Nothobranchius furzeri: one gene and its partners. Each later gene encodes a partner of the first gene's protein in a complex. Links are inferred from orthologs where the notes say so. Each region holds a gene or a part of one and is shown on either strand. Other genes may lie near its edges. The genes, in order: timm23a, timm17a, timm17b, timm50 and timm21.

The links.
Region 2: timm23a (region 1) and timm17a share a complex: the UniProt entries of both Homo sapiens proteins name them as parts of the TIM23 complex. The link is inferred for Nothobranchius furzeri from reciprocal best matches to the Homo sapiens genes TIMM23 and TIMM17A.
Region 3: timm23a (region 1) and timm17b share a complex: the UniProt entries of both Homo sapiens proteins name them as parts of the TIM23 complex. The link is inferred for Nothobranchius furzeri from reciprocal best matches to the Homo sapiens genes TIMM23 and TIMM17B.
Region 4: timm23a (region 1) and timm50 share a complex: the UniProt entries of both Homo sapiens proteins name them as parts of the TIM23 complex. The link is inferred for Nothobranchius furzeri from reciprocal best matches to the Homo sapiens genes TIMM23 and TIMM50.
Region 5: timm23a (region 1) and timm21 share a complex: the UniProt entries of both Homo sapiens proteins name them as parts of the TIM23 complex. The link is inferred for Nothobranchius furzeri from reciprocal best matches to the Homo sapiens genes TIMM23 and TIMM21.

The regions. Positions count from the first base shown.
Region 1 is NC_091756.1:45,105,830-45,109,866, reverse strand, and holds the start of timm23a (mitochondrial import inner membrane translocase subunit Tim23), read left to right. Parts: upstream 1-1,232; 5' UTR 1,233-1,785; coding exon 1,786-1,894; intron 1,895-1,966; coding exon 1,967-2,025; intron 2,026-2,108; coding exon 2,109-2,202; intron 2,203-2,545; coding exon 2,546-2,630; intron 2,631-2,714; coding exon 2,715-2,773; intron 2,774-2,912; coding exon 2,913-3,023; intron 3,024-4,037. UniProt on the Homo sapiens protein: Essential component of the TIM23 complex, a complex that mediates the translocation of transit peptide-containing proteins across the mitochondrial inner membrane.
Region 2 is NC_091743.1:60,935,305-60,939,423, reverse strand, and holds the start of timm17a (mitochondrial import inner membrane translocase subunit Tim17-A), read left to right. Parts: upstream 1-1,312; 5' UTR 1,313-1,386; coding exon 1,387-1,412; intron 1,413-3,138; coding exon 3,139-3,238; intron 3,239-4,119. UniProt on the Homo sapiens protein: Essential component of the TIM23 complex, a complex that mediates the translocation of transit peptide-containing proteins across the mitochondrial inner membrane.
Region 3 is NC_091755.1:41,960,060-41,964,247, reverse strand, and holds the start of timm17b (mitochondrial import inner membrane translocase subunit Tim17-B), read left to right. Parts: upstream 1-1,377; 5' UTR 1,378-1,435; coding exon 1,436-1,461; intron 1,462-1,886; exon of another isoform or gene 1,887-1,995; intron 1,996-2,450; coding exon 2,451-2,550; intron 2,551-2,620; coding exon 2,621-2,684; intron 2,685-2,781; coding exon 2,782-2,910; intron 2,911-2,983; coding exon 2,984-3,094; intron 3,095-3,279; coding exon 3,280-3,341; 3' UTR 3,342-4,188. Other genes in the region: pqbp1 (polyglutamine-binding protein 1), read right to left, coding at 1-56, 155-255, 442-553, 647-713. UniProt on the Homo sapiens protein: Essential component of the TIM23 complex, a complex that mediates the translocation of transit peptide-containing proteins across the mitochondrial inner membrane.
Region 4 is NC_091753.1:57,198,078-57,202,347, reverse strand, and holds the start of timm50 (mitochondrial import inner membrane translocase subunit TIM50), read left to right. Parts: upstream 1-1,460; 5' UTR 1,461-1,478; coding exon of another isoform or gene 1,479-1,496; coding exon 1,497-1,700; intron 1,701-2,924; coding exon 2,925-3,081; intron 3,082-4,270. Other genes in the region: clip3 (CAP-Gly domain-containing linker protein 3), read right to left, coding at 1,479-1,516. UniProt on the Homo sapiens protein: Essential component of the TIM23 complex, a complex that mediates the translocation of transit peptide-containing proteins across the mitochondrial inner membrane. Has some phosphatase activity in vitro; however such activity may not be relevant in vivo.
Region 5 is NC_091747.1:54,073,316-54,076,451, forward strand, and holds timm21 (mitochondrial import inner membrane translocase subunit Tim21), read left to right. Parts: upstream 1-1,137; 5' UTR 1,138-1,326; coding exon 1,327-1,618; intron 1,619-1,740; coding exon 1,741-1,803; intron 1,804-1,909; coding exon 1,910-2,007; intron 2,008-2,091; coding exon 2,092-2,165; intron 2,166-2,243; coding exon 2,244-2,349; intron 2,350-2,474; coding exon 2,475-2,567; 3' UTR 2,568-2,630; downstream 2,631-3,136. UniProt on the Homo sapiens protein: Participates in the translocation of transit peptide-containing proteins across the mitochondrial inner membrane.

The DNA of each region.
Region 1 (4,037 bases):
AGAATTTAAAAGTAAATGCTATATAATGAGCACACAGCGTGAGTGAATTTTAGAATCACTTTTAGAATAAATTTTTTAAAATATTTTTTACACGACTTTATCCGTCACATTATTGTAAGACTTCTGCTGTCACTTTTGCTCATTTTTGGTTTGTGGGATTTTGTTTATGTCCACATTTGTTTTGTTGTGAAATCTAAATATTCCATACTGTTTCATTAATCTTACAGCCCAAATCACATTTTGCAAGCAATGCGCTCTAAATCAGGATCTTATCTGTTTCTCATAAAAGACAAATTCAAACAAGCAGAGCAGCTAAAAAGATTGAACTTACAGTTCCTATAGTTGTCATTAAAGCAAGACTTTTGCTGTCAGCGGCCGAAGAAATGTCCAGGAAAAATCTCTGGATGTGGACCCTAGTGTGTGCAACCCTGATGGATTGTACGGAAGAACCAAACTCAAAAGGGCAGTGTTGATGATCAATGATTGCTAAGAAGGTGAACTGGATTTTACTCATTTTATCACAGTGAGTTACAATTTTTGTTAAATAGGGAATAATTTAAAGACACCAACTTTTTGATGGGTTTTTATTCTACATTGTGTATTTTTATTGCCTTTACCTTATTTTAATTGCAATCACAAAATTAATCAAATTTGCTCCAACAGCATCATGTTTTCAAATGCTACAGCTTGGTCCATAAAACACATTAGACCACATAATGTTTTATGAGGAGTAACAGCTATAATCTTTATAAAAGACAAATCAAATATTTCTAAAGTCTAAATAACATTCCCATCATAAGCTAGAAGGGCATCGGCTTATTTTTGTTGAAGTTTTACTCAGCTATAAAGTTCCCCACACTTTCCCCAGGATTGCTCTGACTCCATGAGCTGTTACGTGAAACAGAATCCATCTTCTGCCTCCTCAAGTCTCTGGGACTGAAATAGAATTGTTGTCTATCAAGCTCTAAAAAGAAGAAGTAGACAATTCAGTGAACAAAACGTATGCATGGGAAGAGCATGGTCCATCTATGTGTAGGCTACAACACTTGCTGGGACAAAGTATGACAAATATAATAAAAATAGTAGTCCAATTTCTAAATTCGGAAATCCAAACTTTCCGCTCCTAAGCCAAAATTATCTGAATTACATTTATTTATAAAGCAAATAAATTTATAAAGCACATCAAGCATGTCGTTAAAATACTTTAATATACTTCTTTAATTGTGTGCGCTAGAACGATTTTAAACCCCTGGAATTATGAGTTTATGTACACTCAAGTGTACTTAATATTTTTTTTAAACTTCTTTTAAGTTTCTGCTTTTTTCTGAAGTGTCGTAAAACTTTGGGTGCAAACGTTTGGTTTTCCTGGATATAAACAATAAGATTTATTATAATAAAAATATATACACATTTAAAGTTTTTATTTTAATTTTTGTATTTTTTGTGAATGCGAGTTTGATTTTGGAGATTTGTTGAAGGTTAAAGTGAGTGCGTTGACGTAATGACAGTCCACGACAGAGCTCGCTTTACGGCAGAGCGTGTTGCTGGAGGTCAGGGTCGTGATGTATAAAATAGCTCACTGCATTTTTTAGCAATAAGACGGTGTAATTACGCTTTAGAAAATTAGCTTTATCAGAATATTGATTTCGGTTTATTTCGCTGATCCTCGTGAAATAGTTCGTCCTGGGTTTGAAGATTGCCACATAACTGCGAAGGCTGCTAAGTTTAGCTCGGTTAGCAGCTACTTTCTAAGGTATAATTGAGCTCTTTGGAACAATTACGGTCATGGACAACAACTCACAGGGTTCAGGGGGCTTGAAAGCGGGCCTCGGGAATCTTTTTGGTGGTGGTGGTGCATCTGAATATTCCAACACAGAGCTCGCCGGTGTCCCATGTAAGTAGCATGTAATACCGATACAATGCTAGCTAGTGTTAGCATCCCCGTAACTTCTTTCTTTTGTTTTAGTGACAGGAATGAGTCCCCTCTCTCCTTACCTCAACGTAGACCCTCGATACCTGGTTCAGGTAAGCTTCTATAGTTAAATTTTGTTCATATTTCATGCTTATTTAAATTTGACTGGTCTCACTAATCTAAATGTTTGTTTTAGGACACAGATGAGTTCATTTTACCCACAGGGGCCAACAAAACGAGAGGAAGATTTGAATTGGCTTTCTTCACCATTGGTGGATCATGCATGACTGGTAAGTATATTTTAAGATTTTAACCCTACTTCATTAAAATATTCATTTTACAACCTGAGATTAGTGTTATTCACAGCGGAGATAATATTTATGTGTTCATCGTGTTCAGTTTATACAAAAACTAAAGTCACTGCAAAATCTGCTGCTTTCATGTAAAGTAGCTCCAACAAAAACAGATCATCTAATGTTGTCCTACTGTGATGTTGGGTTATCACATCATATTCGTGGCTTGACTTGAATTCATGTTCAGCGTCTTGGGCTTCCTGACAGGGTTGCGGAAGGCGCTTTATAAATAAAGCTTTGATTGATTAATTGATTGATTGATTGAATTATTGCCCTGCAGGAGCTGCACTTGGAGCTGTAAACGGTCTGAGGATGGGCCTGAAAGAGACCAGAGACATGGCATGGTCCAAACCTCGTAACGTACAGTAAGTAAACAGAAAAAATAATCACCAGGTAATTTTACCTGCATTTTGCATCGCTTTTCTATAACGTTACTTTTTCTCCACCAGGATTCTTAACATGGTGACCAAGCAGGGGGCTTCGTGGGCCAACTCTCTTGGCTCTGTTGGTAATCAGTGGAAACTTACTCATAACAACACATTTGACCATTTTTATAACTAAATGTTTGTCTGTAGTTTGAGGTTAACAGTTGTGTGAATTGGACACGAGTTCACCTTTTAAACGTTGTGTTTGTTGTATCATTGCAGCCTTGTTGTACAGTGCATTTGGTGTGGTGATTGAGAAGACCAGAGGAGCAGAAGATGACATCAACACAGTGGCTGCTGGCACATTAACAGGGATGCTCTTTAAATCTAGTGGTATGTGTCTTTTGTGTTTGTGTTTTGTCAACCTAAAGCCTGATTCATGCTTCTCCGTCTGCGTCAGTGCGGAGACACGCAACGTGAGCTCCGCAAGGACGGACGGAGTCGAGCTCTCTTCTCTAAACATCCGTCAGTCGAGACAGACAACGCAGGCTTGTGATTGGTCAGGACGCCGCTGTCGTCTACACCGCCGCCATTGCGCCTTCAAAAACATGTGAGCCGAGGATAACTAGCGGCAGACACGGAGCAGCTTGAAGAATACCTCGCGATAAAACTCTAAAAACATGAACGTTTAATTCCCCGTGACTGGAGGAGTGAAAAGATGCTCAGCAAGCGTTTTATTTGTGGACGGAAATGACAGGAAACGTGGGTTTAGAGATGGCGAACGCATCTGGAGGTGGAGGAGAATGAGAGACAAATATGTCCGTGTTAAAAAGTCTCTTATATACAAAAAAACCCCACAATATAAACACACTATCTTGGACCGATACATGACAGGGTACCACTGAACAGCGCTACGCCCTCTGCTGTCCTGCTGGGCAATTGATCTGCAACACTCCAGGAGACGTAGAAGTATGAGAGCAAAACTCTTCCGTCAATCCGTGCGTGTGTGTTCCTTGTGGAGCTGACGGAGAAGCATGAATCAGGCTTTAGACCTAATTTTTTTCTGACCACTTGTTGATTGGATTGAATCAGACTTCCTCTGTAGAAATGTGGAACATTTTATCCATCAGATTGTTGAAATTAGAACATTATAACTTTTATATTAATAGAAAATTACACTTTGGTGTTTTTCTTGTTTACACAGTTACATTTATACATTTTCTCTTACAGGTGGTTGAAAATCCTAGTTTCCCAGCATCTCTCTTTTTTTTTTTTTTTACCTTTCAATACCAAAGCTCTGTTGTTGTGTTAGAACATGCAGAGTTAAGAACAATAATTATGCTAATGCTGAGATTATTTTAGGAAACCATAGGGGTTATTGAATACAATTATGATGAGTTACCCTTG
Region 2 (4,119 bases), on another chromosome or scaffold:
ATTCCTTTCCCCCTTTCTAATAATGGGCTGCATGCCAGCTGTCTGTCTCTTGGCTGTAGCTGCTCCTCTGACCAGCAGCGTCAGTCTCTGATGGAGAAAAACAGGAGAGGGAATGAAAACATTCCGTTAAATGCTTTAACACTAACACACGGGCTTGCAGAAAAATTATGTCAACGTTTAAAAGCAGAAAAGAACTTTAATAGTACCAACTTGCGGTTTATAAGAAGTTTGTATTACAGTTTTTTTAAATGCCTGGAACATTCATTTAACCATTTTTTATGAAACAAAGAACAAAGTGGATTTTTTTCCACAGCTTTACCCTGTCAAATCAGGAAAACTTGAAGGTATTAAAGCTGCTTTAAGAAACTTGGAAAACAAATTAGCTTAAAACATTTTTTCATCCCTTTTTACAATCTTCTAACATAGTATGGCTATAAAATATTATGTAGTAAAAAGGGTGGCTTTTCTGAGGAAAATAGCATATAAAACATTTTTTCAGTTATTTAATCTTTTTTAGTTAAGTACATAACTCCACATGTGTTCATTTGTAGTTTTGATGCCTTCAGTGAGAGTCTACCAACGTACAGTAAATGGTCATGAAAAATAAAGAAAACATATTGAATGAGAAGTTGTATCCAATCTTTTAGCCTGTACTTTACACACACACATATGTGTGTGTGTGTGTGTGTGTGTGTGTATATATATATATATATATATATATATATATATATATATATATATATATATATATATATAGAGAGAGAGAGAGAGAGAGAGAGAGAGAGAGAGGGGGTCATATGAAAATTGTTACATCTATAAAACAACATTGGAGAAAACAGAGCATGAACATGGAGCATGAATGTGACACTGTCAGAAATCTTTCCGTGAATCTTTGTTCCGTTTGGTATAATCCTAAAAGAGAAAAACTGCATTGTTTTTATAAACAATCTTATCTTTACAAAGTATTATTAGTATATAGACCTACATACATGTACATATGCCTAGTCTCACCCAATGGCGTTTAAAAATTATCTTCCGTTTTACAAAAATGTTTGAAACTAATTCTCTTGCAATTAGGCTTTACACATTCATAGGACAACTTAATTTTTATCGATTTCCTTCTATTTAGTATTTGTTTTTCTACTGGTTTGGTATTCCATGTTTGTTTCATTTGTACTTTGTACCTCTTTTTATTTTCGCCCTTATGTGTTTTAATATATATGTCACTACAAGGTTTTGCTTCTCTTTTAATTTAGTGTCTTGAAGGAGCGTGATTAAAGTCCTGTGTTGAAAATTTGTCATTGTTCATTTTTTTTCAATAAAGTTTTTCTTTTTTAAGGAAGAAGTGACGTTACGTTACGTCAGTGGTAACAGCTAAAGAACAAAATGGAGGAATATGCCAGAGAGCCGTGGTAAGTTTCAAAATAACGATAAATGTTACAGTTTACGTTGTTTTAATAAAATTAGCCAATTTTATCTAATTTAAAATGAGCATTGCATTTAGTTTTCATCTTTATATTTATTGTTAAAGCTTGTGGCACATCCCGATACACCTGGAAAAAAAAATACCGGCTGGCCAATTTAGCTCAAATGCTAATTTCTCCTTGAGTTTAATGGGCTTTTGTGCTAGCATCAGAACGGAAAGGCTAAATCACGTTGTTGGTGACCTTGCCGTTTTTCTCGTCCACATGTCATCAAAGTAAATTCAGGAACTGAAGTTACGCTTTGTGAATTATAAGTGTCACAGTTTATATTAATCACTAACAGCATTTATAAAAGTTATCGTCTTCAGATATTGTTAGGCTATTAGACATTGTTGATGTAGCTGTTAGCTCAGTTAGCCACCAGTGTGCTAACCATCCGGATATTACACAACTTGTAATTTAAGACAAAATCGTATGATCAGACATATACATATCAAACGTTCTGAGATACTCCTATTGAGTTATATTAAATATGCCTAACACTGGAACACCTTAGTTGTCTAGCTGGGTCATCTTTATAAAAACAGGTTTAACAAGAGATCATTTAAAATTTGACAAATGCTGTTTTATAGCAAGACATTTTGAGGGTTAAATTAGGTTAATGTTTGAAATCCAAGACAGGGAAAAATGCCTTTTAATCATTTCCAGTGAGAAGAAGTTGGCTTTATATGTCAGCTGTTAGTTTGCTGCTATTGAGTGTTTTAAAACTGTTTATGATGCTGCTTTGTTAATCCACTCATACAATGATCTCTCTCAATAACTGGGATCTTAGTATTGTAACACATGTAATTTGTTCATTTTTGTTCAGACAAAAATGTCAAAAAACATACTTTGACAGGTATGGCAGATTTGTAGAGTTTTTGTAAAGCTGAACATTTCTAAGTGTAGTAAATGAAGTGTAAGAAATGAGCTCAAAATTTCATCAGTCTTCAAATTGTGTGATGAGAGTTGCGTCATTCTTCAGGTGTTATTCTAAACCAAGTCCAGGTTCAAAGACTTGACTGAAAAAATAGTCTGACTGAATCAGACATGAAATTTTTTCAGAAAACTTTATTTTAGAAAAACTGCATGAAATTGGTTCTTGGATGTTAAATATAAATGAGTTGAAGAAAAACTTAGGGGGTTATCGCTCAATTTCTGTCATCTGTTTTCATAAGAGTGGTTACCAGAATTATTCAAACATCACATAAACAGAACAGTTTAAAAGACATAGTTATCAGTGTCTGTGTACTCTGTCACCAGACCTTTTGCTGTGTTTAATAATTCACATTTTGTTCCTCTTTGGTATAAATCAAACTCTTTTAAGCATTTCTATTTGTTGCACCTATCTCTATTTACAGTTCTGGCTGCAGGGCTAGGGATCGCTCATCTCAGTAAACTCTTCCCTAATTACATCTCTTTTTTCCCCCCCATAAAATTGACACAAAAAAGTTTTTTTCTTGAGGCTTCATAGTTTGTTTTAATCTCAATAGTTCTGTGTGTCCCGTATAGTAAATGCTACAGTTCCAATTAAGACTGTGTGTTTATTTGAACTTCAGCTTGGAAGCACACACTTCAAACATCATCCATGACTGTGTTGCATTTTAACACTAAAATAAAGTTTTCTTGAGACTTTTTTTAGATCAGAATTTTGAATTCTGTTTTTTACTTGTAGCCCCTGGAGGATTGTGGATGACTGTGGTGGAGCTTTCACCATGGGAGCTATTGGTGGAGGAATTTTTCAGGCTGTGAAAGGCTTCAGAAATGCACCTTCAGTAAGTTAACCAACAGTGTTTTACAGGGTTCCCTTTTACACACTCACATGAAGACTAGCCTTGACATTTAATGGCTTGGTCAAGGATGCTGGATGGGTCCAAATCCAGGGATAGTATCCTAGTAAGGACCTGGATTACCCGGTCTGTTGGGTTGGGCATCGATTGGAACCGGGACTAACCGTCAGTTTTTTCCAGAATCGTTCAGATTTAAGGCTGCTGACCGGAAGAAGAATCTGTTGTCGATCTCCGTGAAAAAAGCATGATATGCAAATTCTGATCAATGCCTTTCAGAGCCGATCATACCAGCTATCTGTCGGTCCTACTCGCAGCCCGCAGAGACCCTGAGAGCAGCATTGCGTCCCCCCTCCTTAGCCTCACACTGCGCAGGTGCGCAGCGGCTAAAATGTAAACAAACTTGTCTGCAGAACTTTTACTCTGTGATGTAAACTTTAATTCCTGCAGTGAAAAATGCATCGTGGAGGAAGCTCGTAAAAATGTGTTAACATAGTGGATTTAATGAAAATTTTGAAGAACAAACTCCAGGCAGTGTGAGGTGAGTTTGGCTTCCTGCAGAAATAAAAACACGGAGCATCAACAGTCAACTGCAGCCACTCACCAACACTCATCTGTGTGAGCGTGACCGTCGGAAGACTGAGCAAATTACCTAGAGCTAGATCAGCCGTTCTCTGTGGCGGATGACTGACACCGATTTCTAGCCACTAGTCTGTCCTTGATATTTGGGGAAAACAAGGACACATTTTGAGTTTCCTTCATATTTGGAAGGCCTTGTCACTTTTCTGTGGCATAATCAACCTTAAAATGTGGCCTTGAAAGGATGCAGCCTCTGGATTTATGCACAGCCCCATAAATGCAACTAGAGG
Region 3 (4,188 bases), on another chromosome or scaffold:
TCTCTCTCTGTCTGGCTTCTCAAACGGTCGCTCTCCTCTTTCATCTCCCAAATCAGCTAAAAACAAATAATAATGCAATTTCTGTGAAAAACATTCCTCGTTTCTTTTTTAAAGACACTTATGCAAAACTGGCGAGTTTAGTTTTTAAACCCACCTTTCATTTTCTTGGCAGCTTTTGTTATCACAGACGAGGGGTCATTTGGGGACAGCCAGGCGACTAGATCCGTCTCAACATTCCAGTAGTAAGGAAGACCACTGAGGGTGGCAGGAAATCAGGAAGAGAAGGCTAATCAGCTTACATACTAAACATGTAAAAGAGACCCAATGACATCGCTTTGTGAATTCACTGGAAAGCTTCATCTGGACTGCAAACACCCAAACACAAGCGCACTGGAGGTAAAACTACCAAAGAACCGTAGATAACCAGTACAGTGTACGTACCAAGCTGGATCAAACACTTTGTACCAGTTTGGAGGAAGATTCTCTGCTCTGGTGGCTTCATAATCTACATTATTGTCATCATAATCTTCGGCAATAATCTCCTCATCTGCACCTGTTATTAAAGGAGAAAATACTGTTACACGACATACGTGTAAAGTCACAGAGAAGGATGCATGGAGCCAGCGTGTTCAAGCCAAATGAGAACCTCGTTCTGTTGGTTTAACGATCCCCCTCTTGGCCAAGCGGGCCAGCAGAGCTGGAGGAAGAGGCATCCTGAAAAACACGAGATGCTGTCACAACAGTCACCTCGAACATCTGTACATGAGGTCAGTGGTTTCATAAATCCACAGCAAAGATACAGAAAATTTACTTGTTTCTCATGTGTTCTGATATTTAAAGTATACAGCCTCAATTATACACAACGGGGTTTATCCCAATAAACAAAACGTCTCTTTACTGCCAAATTACGTACAAAAACGAGTTAATTTATAACAAATAAACATCTGAACAGAAACCTTTCAGATAAAACATTGTAATGAAATATGGAGAACATAAAGCTCCCAACAGCACACGCAGTAAAAGGCGTCGGGCTTTCAATACAATTTGAATAAATGCTGTTCTTACGTTTTCAGTTGAAGTTATGTTCAACATTTGAGTTGTGTTATTTTTAAAGACTTTAACTACAGATGTAGAAACAGTCTGACATTCGTAAAATCTGCATTTATTTGCACGAACAACAAACGTTTACCCGAAGGCTAACCCTGTTAGCAACCGCTGGATGATTAAATCAACAAGCAGACTGCGTAAGTACTTCCATGCCCGGAAGGAACGAAAATCTGAACGTTTACGCTTCAAAACGGGATCCGAACAGGAACAAGTTTACCTGAGATAAAGAAATTCACCCAATAGCAGAGAAAATGATGTTAGCACCGCCAACGCACTAGTAGCGCCGGTCGCACGTGTATGACGTCACAACGTCTAGACGAAAACAAACATGGAGGAATATGTCCGCGAACCTTGGTAAGATTAGTTTGTCTTTAACTGTAAACTAAATACGGCTAACATACATACCAGTGTTGGTTTTTCTAGTGAAACATAAACATGTGAGAGAACAGAGACGCGTTGTGAGTTCTGCTGTCAATCCACGTATATATACGTGCTTACGTTCAATGCAATTCAAAAATACTTTATTAATCCCAGAGGAAATTGATTGCTGTAGTAGCTCAGAATAATAATAATAAACAAGTCATCAAAGAGTTGTTGTATATTACAATGGCTGTTGGCAGGAAGGATCTCCAGTAGCGGTCAGTGTTGCAGCCAAACTGAAGAAGCCTCTGACTGAAGACACTCTTCCGTTGTCGGACAGTCTTGTGAAGAGAACGCTCAGGGTTGTCCATAATTTTCTTGATTCTCTGGAGAATCCTCCTTTGCATTTTCTCCTCCAGCGGTTCCGAAACTGCCGAAACTCTGGCTGAGTCCTTGAAAGGGCTTGGAGTTCCTCCATCTTGTTGGCCAGTGATCTCACATTGCCCGTTATGATCGATGGAAGAGACGGTTTGAATTTCCTCTTTCTCTGTCTCCGTTTTGCTCCCGCTCTGCACCCACGCTTCTTGCGTTTTAGCTCATTTGGGATTTGTGGCTTCAGTTGAGGTATTATTTCAGCCTTTCCAATGTTAATCAGCTGCTCCCGATTGTAAACCAGCTTGTTGCCATGGTTACGCATCATAACAAATGCTCAAAAAGTGTAAAAAGCTAAAAAATAGCAGTAAAAATCCTCCAAGCTTCACAGCACCAGAAACAGAAAAGTAGTGTCCAAAAAAATACCGTTTCTCTTGAGAAACTAGAAGAAAAAATGCCCAAGAAAAGGCAAAACTTACATATAGTCAACAGAGCTACTCCAACATGCAGCCACCCAGAGCAGCGCAGTTCCGTTGACGTCTGTATCCTGATCTGACTGTATATCTTGTATTTTGACGGTGTCTTGTGTGTCCTCCCCTAACCTCCTGCAGCCCCTGGAGGATTGTGGACGACTGTGGAGGAGCTTTCTCCATGGGTGTCATCGGTGGAGGGGTGTTCCAGGCCATCAAGGGCTTCCGAAATGCCCCTGCTGTGAGTTTAAAACAGACTAGTTTGACTTGACTTCTTGGAAGCCTTTATAAACCTGTCTGTAACATTTCAGGGTGTTGGACACAGACTAAGAGGAAGTGCAAAGGCAGTGAGAGTGAGGGCCCCACAGATTGGAGGTTTGACCCGTTGCTGCTCTGCTCCTCACACACCACTGAAGGATTTTGGTCCCTTTCTCTAAACTGAGCTTCAGCACTGACGTGCTTCTTCTACCAGGTAGCTTTGCCGTATGGGGAGGTCTCTTCTCTACGATTGACTGTGGCTTGGTTCGCCTGAGAGGGAAAGAAGACCCGTGGAACTCTATAACAAGTGGTGCGCTGACTGGAGCCATTCTAGCAGCACGCAGTGAGGATAACACTCAACAACCAAACACTAGACAGGAACTCAGTAACTCACCAAATGTTTTGGTTTGCCTCAGGTGGGCCGTTGACCATGATGGGCTCGGCCATGATGGGCGGGGTTTTACTCGCTCTCATAGAAGGTTTTGGCATTCTCCTAACCAGATACACAGCCCAGCAGTTTCAGAACCGTGAGTGCCTTTCCCGTCTCTGTAATATACACCAGGTGCTCAAACTGAACACCTGCAGACATCTTTAAACCACTTTTGGGTTTTAGTTAAGCCATCTGTCGTTTGAAACCGATAACCAGTAGGATACTTGCAGCACGTCCAAGAAAAGCCTGACAAGTTCACTTCTTTCTGCTTGTTGTCTCCAGCCGTTCCCTTTGCAGAGGACCCCAGTCAGCTTCCTCCGAAGGACGGAGGGCCCCCCCCATAGCCAGCAGCAGGGCCCAAAAGGGCTGTTCCAGTAGAGGGTTGAGTCCAGCTGTAGACCAGAGCAGCAATGCCCTTAGGACTTGGCTGTAGAACCTCAGGGTCAGTGTTTAAATGTTTACGTGCGAGAGTTGTCGCTGTCGTCTTTATGCTTAAATATCTAGTTTGAGTTTCACATAAATGCTTTCATTATTCATAATGATTTAAACACGTATGTTTAAAACATGGGGAGAACATGTTTGGTCTCTTCTGGAGTCCGCGTGGAAACACGAGCTCTCAGCGTAAAACCCTCCTGTCTCCACTGTCTGGATGAGCTGATGTCGCTGGCCCGAGACTGCTGGCAGCCACACAGGCGGAGCGTGAATGTGGACAGGGTCGTGTGGAGCTTATTTACCGCAGTGATGCTAATTTTCTTGTTGTCTTAATGTTCTTTGATTTGACTCCAGATTTATTAATGGACCCTTTGTAAAATGGTCTCATACTGCTGAATGGACGAAGGTTCCAGACATCAGCAGCAAGACGTCTGTTATTATTTTGGGACAAACGCTTGTTAGGACCTGTTCAGAATGGCAGCAACACGAGACAAGGACAATGAGAATCCTTGGAAATTCCCTCTTGATTTGAAAAGGCGCCCCCAGCAGTCACAGATAGCCCAGTGAGAGCCCAGATGCACGCTCATTCACAGCCGCGCTTGCATCACGTTTGAGGATCTCGCTAGAAGACTAGGTCTTTCCTGGAAGAGGTTTGCAGGAAGCTCAGCTCTTACTCGAGTTCCCACACGCTGGTCCTCCTGAACATCTCTGCAGCCTTTTAAAGCTGCAGTTTGTTTGTGAAACCTAGTAAAAGACCAG
Region 4 (4,270 bases), on another chromosome or scaffold:
CAACCTTCAGATTACAGCCTGCTCTACCTCCTGAGTTCTTTCTGTTAAAAGTTGTGACAGCTCAACTTAGGTTGTTATCTGGATGAACAAGAATGTTTCTGGAACGATGTCCCATTAAATAGATGTTTACCCATAATGCATGACAGCACAAACAGCTGATCCCAGCAGTCAGCACGGTGGTGGAGGGCTGATGGTTTGGACTGGTTCCGACCCAACAGGACTCATTAAATCCACCATGAACTCTTCTGGATACCAAAGCCTCTTAGATTCTAATGTGAAACCATCTGTCTGACAGCTGGAGATCATCTCAAACTGGGTCATAAAAGATAATCATGATCCAGAACATGGAAGCAGATCTACAACAGAATCAAGATGTTGGAGAGGTCCAGTCAGTGTCCAGACCCGAACCAGACTTAGGACCTTCAAAGAGCTGAATGTCAGCAACCTTTAAGAAGAATGGAGCAGAACTCCTCCAGAACCATGATGGTGTCAAACAGAAGATGATTCCTGAGTTCCTGAAGGAGGATCTACAAGCTTAGGAGCTTTAGTCTTTGTTCTGATTGTTTTTCTGTATTCAGTCCAACTGTGGAGAACCCACCACAATCACCTGATTGTGATGGTGGTTTCCTTAGGGTTACCAGTCTCAGTCAGATTCAGGCCTCCTGTAATCTCACGTTTCCATGTTAAAATCAGGCCAAAGCTGCAAAGTGATCCTTTAACACAGATGTGACATTCACTAACAAACTGAATCTTTCGTTCGGCTTTTCAGATTAAAAGATGAGAACTGAATCCTTGTAAAAGAACCATTCCGCTTGTCTACTGGTGACGCCCACACCCATACGAATACGTAAACTGCACCACTGGGCGCTGGAGAGAGTAACAGCATTGCCGCCATATTGGATGGGTTCCGCACTTTCCAAACTAAGAGTGGGGAACTATGCCTGTTTTTGGTGCAGCCTACGGTTGCAACCATAAACACAGAGTGGTTGCAACACCTGGCGCACTGTTGAAAACAGACCACGTGGGATTAATATAGACTTTTCTAGCCTTCCTTTTGGGATTTTATATTTTCATTCATTTTGTTTATATTTACATTTTATTTATCATGCCATACCATGCGTCTGACTTAATGAAAAAGCATAATAAAAGGTTTGTTTTAGTAGGTTTATAGTTTCTCCGTAGATATAGTTGCACGGGGGCAAATAATGACCCATCCAAGATGGCGGCTCGCTACCTCACAAACTACCTACAAAGTCCCATTTGACTAGGGCGAATTTGCCACCAACCGTCATGGTGGTTTTGTGTCGCATCCGAAGGTCAGACTCATTTTCACTTCTGATTGGTCTAAATTTACTAAGCACCGCCCTTCTTTTAACCACGTGGACAACTCCGTTTCTGATTGGACAGTGTACTGGTCCGTCAACGCGAGCCAAACCAATCGCAGATCTTTGTCTTTCAGTCTTGCGTCACACGCTCACCGGCTGCTACAATCCAAGATGTCGGCTGTGTTCCCCATGTGTGTCCGAGCGAGTCACGGCCTCCTGAGGCTCAGCAACGGAGCGGTAGGTGCTTCCAGGCTGGCAGCGATGGATATCATCCGGACACTCTCCACAGACGAGCCGTCTGGCGGACCGCGCGGCGCGACGAGCGGACTAGCTCAGGCTATCCTCCAGGAGCGACTCCAGCAGCACCAGAGCCAGGTGAGGTGCGCTCGGTTTTCTGTCCAGCGGCGAAGGCAGTGCAGTTTGTACGTTTAAGTCATGACTCCGCCCTTCCGAGAATCCCCATTATATCAAACCGAAGCTACATCTAGCCACGGACGGCTAAGCGTTACCTGTGCAGGTTTCTCCACGGGAGGGTTTATATTATTGCTCGTTGGTTTTATGTGTTGCTGTAGCTGTGCGTGACCGTAATCGTGGGGTCTGCAGGTAAAATGCTGCGTCCTCTCTCATACTGACTTCAGCCAAGCTTCATTCTGTTAGAAAAATAACAGTCAAGGTGCTTTAGGCTAGAAGGACAGAACAGGACCTTCTTCTCTCCTCTAACTCATGCCAAACATCTCCGGGATGTTAGAGTACCCATCCATCAGTGTTTGAGATCCCATTGCCCTCATAAACGGTGGCTCTGTCAGAAGTTTTATTTATTTTCTGGCTGTATTGTAAAAATACTCACCTGTTCAGGCTTTTATTTTTGTATCATCTGCAAATCTGTGATTTCACCTGGTCAAAGGCGCTAATCCTGGTTGACCCACCAGATTAAGGACAACATTTGTTGAATTAAATCTTTTTGTTTGGTGCTTAATATCATTTTTGGAGGTAACAAGAGGTCCAGCTAACGTGTCTCAGTGCAGCATCACAGCTTTGACTTGTAATCAGACTTCAAGGCAAGGCAGCTTTATTTTTATAGCACATTTCACACACAGAGGCAGTTCAATATGCTTTTCCATTAGCAAGAATAGCAAGAACATTAAAACCAACACGACATGGCATCGGCCGATACCGACATCGATGCCGATATATCACGCATCCCTAATTATGTCACCAAGATTCTAACCTGGGTCTTTATTCCTCCGGAGACAAGTCGATCAATAACCTCCATCCTATCCTTCAGATTTCCAAAGACAAGAACTTCAGTCGTGTCTTTAACTGGAGGAAGTTTGACTGCATCCAGTCATTAACCTGCTCCAAACACTGGCGGTGTGAGTGGAGAGGACCACAGTCACTATGTGATAGAGCTAGGTAGATCTGGGTGTCATCTGCATAACTATGATAGGTAATGTTGTTATTGTATGACCTGGCCCAGGGGGAGCATGTAGAGATTGAAGAGCAGTGGTCCGAGAATTGATCCTTGGGGGGACCCCACGTGTCATGGTGATCTGCTTTGACTTCAAATGAAATATCTATTGTTATTGTTTGTTTTTCCAGGGCCAGCCACCTACAGAAGAAGGTCAGAGCAAGAAGGAAGGAGAGCAAACAGATGACAAGAAACAGAAGGAGAACATGGCCTATGCAAAAAAAATGGTGCTGCGGTTGGCGGGACTCCTAGGCCTTGGCGGAGCGGTCAGCGTTGTCTACATCTTTGGTGAGTAGGGCTGAACGATTTTTCGTTTTTGGACCGAAATCGTGATTTCAAACAGCACGATCACTAGGGATGCACCGATACAATACTGGTATCGGTATCGGTAAAAGTTAACCGATACCAGTAAATGATACCAATGCAGTTGCTTGACTTGACTTGACTTCACTTTAACTTGTCATTTCTGTTCACCTAATATTTTAGTTTTGTAATCACTTATATTACTTTTTATCTACCTTACAGTCTTTTCCTATTGAAAACAGAAGAAAATAAAACCTGTATTCCAATTCATTTAATTTTTTTGTGTGGTAGAAGTATCTGTATCGGTATCGGCGAGTACTCAGATCCAAGTATCGGTATCAGTTTGGAAAAAAGTGGTATCGTTGCATCCCTAACGATCACGTGACCGTCAAAGCTGCGGTTTTTGCGTTTTTGACTGATGTAACATCCGGGGTTTCCCCGTGTGTTATGGTGGCGGCAACAGGCAGCGCGGGGGAGGGGGTGGGGTATACTGTCCAGAGCCGAGCCCAATTCCACAGCTGACTGAGTTGCAGGTTATCTTCCATTTTAGTTTTCCACACACAGCGGGGGCGCAGTTGAGTGGGGAGAGAGAGACTCCTCCCACATCGGCGGGTTCAGGCTCAACGTCACTTTTGAGATACCCGAACCACCGCCACACTACTGACGTTGAGTAACTTTTCTTCTGAACAATGTCATCATCTCCAGAAGACAACTCCGAGTCATGACTGGGATCTACTTCGCTGTTTTCAGCTCCACGTTTGGCCATTCTGCTTATTAAACCTCTTCCTCGAAGTAGCGGAGCAGGAAAAGTGTAATTGCAAATGCTTCTTCTTTTTGTTAAATGGCAGTGGGCAACCAACGCGCATGGAGTGTTAGCGCCCCCTACTGAGGCTGCACACATCTGTTATTTCTGATCGAGACTCCCAGCTGATCACCGTAATTGAACTGAAAATGATCGTGATCACAAAGTGCGATCATATGATTGCCCAGCCCTAGCGTGTTCCCCTGTCCTCCGGGCCACACACACACACACACACACGGGACTGTCTCAGCTGTTATTTTCGTTAAGGAGTGTGCACGTACAGCATGCGCGCCTCGTGCACGAGCCTACTATTGAAGCTGCCGTTAACGCTTTTGGCCTGAGGGGGCGATCGTGAGCATAAAAATTAAAAAC
Region 5 (3,136 bases), on another chromosome or scaffold:
TGGTTTGAATTTCCTCTTTCTCCATCTCCGTTTTGCTCCCGCTCTGCACCCACGCTTCTTGCGTTTTAGCTCATTTGGGATTTGTGGCTTCAGTTGAGGTATTATTTCAGCCTTTCCAATGTTAATCAGCTGCTATCGATTGTAAACCAGCTTGTTGCCATGGTTATGCATCATAACAAATGCTCAAAAAGTGAAAAAAGCTAAAAGAAATAGCAGTAAAAATCCTCCAAGCTTCACAGCACCAGAAACAGAAAAGTAAAGTGTCCAAAAAATACAGTTTTTCTTGAGAAACTATAAGAAAAAATGCCCAAGAAAAGACAAAACTTACATATAGTCAACAGAGCTACTCCAACATGCAGCCACCCAGAGCAGCGCAGTTCCGGAAAAGCCGCCGTTTGAAGCTCAGCTCTGATGTGGCTCACTTCTAGTTCCTGAAAATGGTGCGCCGGTGTTTTCTTTCCCCAGAGTATGACACACGAGATGTTTATTCCTACTAGAGACTACTGCAAATGTATTGATTAAATGAGGAAAGGGAAGAGGAGAATGGGGAACTGCACTTGTAAAGTTACAATAATTAGTACACTTCCTGTAAATTCTTCTCAGAAGTACCAGGATGTGAACGTTTCCTGCATCATGTAGATCGAACTCAGTCCTTCAGTCTATGGCTTTTAAGATTAAGGATATTTCCGTCCTCTGGAAGACAAAAACTGTTACTACAGTCAATGTTAATAAAGCTAAACAAGACCATACTCATTATTACTTCCTGTATGTTCTTTCAAAATAAAACATAGCATAGTTTAGTCCAGATAATGAGAAAGCCAGAACATCTTCTCTTATTCAAACTACTTAACTACTAAAACTCAATAAATATATCTAATGTATCTGTGTTTAACCAGATGGAATCAATGAGCTAAAGCAGGAAATATTAGCAGCTAGCTGAACATTTCAGATCTCTGCTCCATCTAACTTCTACTTACTGAAACAGAAGAGCAAATGTTTTACTTTTTTCTTCACAGAAAACGACTCACAAGGATTTACACAAGAGCCACCATAACAAATGGGGGGAAATGTTCCTGGTATTGCAAGCTTGTTGTTTCGTTTTTGTCCGGTAGGTGGAGGTAGTCCAAGCTGATTTGTTTACTCCTAATAAAGACAACAAAGAAGAAGCTACGCCATATTGGTGCGACCTAAACCAGCTTTGTTTGTGTGACATTAGCCGATTAATGTTCTATAATTAAACGTCACGGTGACATAATTATACACTATAGTAGGCCAGCCGCTGTAGTTTGTACTGCCGTTCACCTCAATGTGGGTTTATTGACAATAATGGCGTATCTTCACCCTTTAAAAGCCTTGTTACACCGAAGTCTGCAACACACAGCGGCAGCGCAAACATGTCAGTTGCGACTGTTAGCTCACGCGCGCAGGACTTTGTCCACAACACCAGGACTGGTCCTTCTCGGGACAGATAGTCCTCTGTCTGCGCTGAGTTGTCTCCGTGTGGCTGTGAGACCGCTCCACTGTTCAGCCAGAAACAGGAGCAGGCCAGAGGACGAGAACAAAGCGGCGGTGTCCAGGTATCAGCGCGCAAGCCCCAAAGCTTCAGCTTCCCAGAAGAGTAAGCTAATGCTAACGCTATGTTGCTATGCAGCACGGTACAAAATGCTGTAGGTTAGGGTTAGTTTATGCCAATTACTGCATGCTGTTGTTTACTAAAGTCTCATTGTGGGTGTCTTCCAGTAAAAGAAGCTGGTAAAGACTTCACCTACCTGATAGTTGTGATCATCGGACTGGGAGTGACAGGTGAGAGTAGCCAGACTGCAGAAACAAACGTGTGATTAGCAGCATATTTAATTTGATCTTACCCGCTGCTGTCAAAATAAATAAAAATGTGTGCGTTTGTGTTTAGGTGGACTGCTGTATGTGGTTTTCCAGGAGCTGTTTTCGTCCAAAAGCCCAAATAAAGTCTACGCAAAAGCTTTTGATAAAGTCAGGTCACACCCAGAGGTGAGAATGACAAATGATTTACTCTTTTGGCTCTTTTCAGTATAAAGTTACATGCACGGTGCTGTTTTTGATTTGAAAGTGCAGGTAATCGGGGCATTTGGCGAGCCAATCAAGTGCTACGGTGAGACCACCCGCAGAGGAAGGAGGCAGCATCTCAGGTACAAACTAAACTAGGCATAAAACTGTGTTTATTTGGGATTATGCTGTTTTTTAATCTGTTTTTGTTTTCGCCTCAGTCATCTGGAGTATCTGAAGGATGGACTGAAGCACTTGAGACTGAAGTTTTACATTGAAGGCTCCGAGCCAGGCCTGAAAGGAACTGTTCATTCAGAGTCGAAGGAGGTGTGTAGGTTTCTGATCTGCTCACACAATATCCATTTTATAATAGCTGGTATCAAATACTAAGAGCTGAGAGGAAAACTGCATCCATTGTCTTTTGATTTGTTGTCTTTGGTTTCTTACTTCAGAACCCAGAAACGGGGAAATATGAATTTCGTTATATATTCGTGGATCTAGATACCTACCCCAAACGGAGCATCATCATAGAGGACAACAGATGAGAACCCCTGCTGTTCACAATCTGCATTATTTAAATAAACAAGGCACTGGTCACTGGATTACAATCTTGTCCTTTTTAATTTGAAACTAATGTGTTAAATGACTCAACAAAGTCCAGTTTGTGTCCCTGCTTTAGACCTTTTGACCCCTCTTTATTGCTGATCTGTCCTAAAGTGTCCTTCAGGGGGGCTTTCTTTTTAAATAAACGCGGACTCTTCTGCTTGACTAAATTAAAAATTTTGGGCATTTCTTTTTGCAACATTTATCTACTTTCAAAAAATAGATCCATCCATCCATTTTCATCCGCTTATCCGGAGTCGGGTCGCGGGGGCAGTAGCCTAAGGCGAGAGGCCCAGACTTCCCTCTCCCCAACCACTTTGGCCAGCTCCTCCGGGGGAATCCCAAGGCGTTCCCTGGCCAGGTGAGAGACATAGTCACTCCACCGTGTCCTGGGTCTACCTTTAGGTCTCCTCCCGGTTGTACGTGCCCGGAAAACCTCACCAGGGAGGCGTCCAGGAGGCATCCTGACCAGATACCCGAGCCACCTCAACTGGCTCCTCTCGATGTGGAG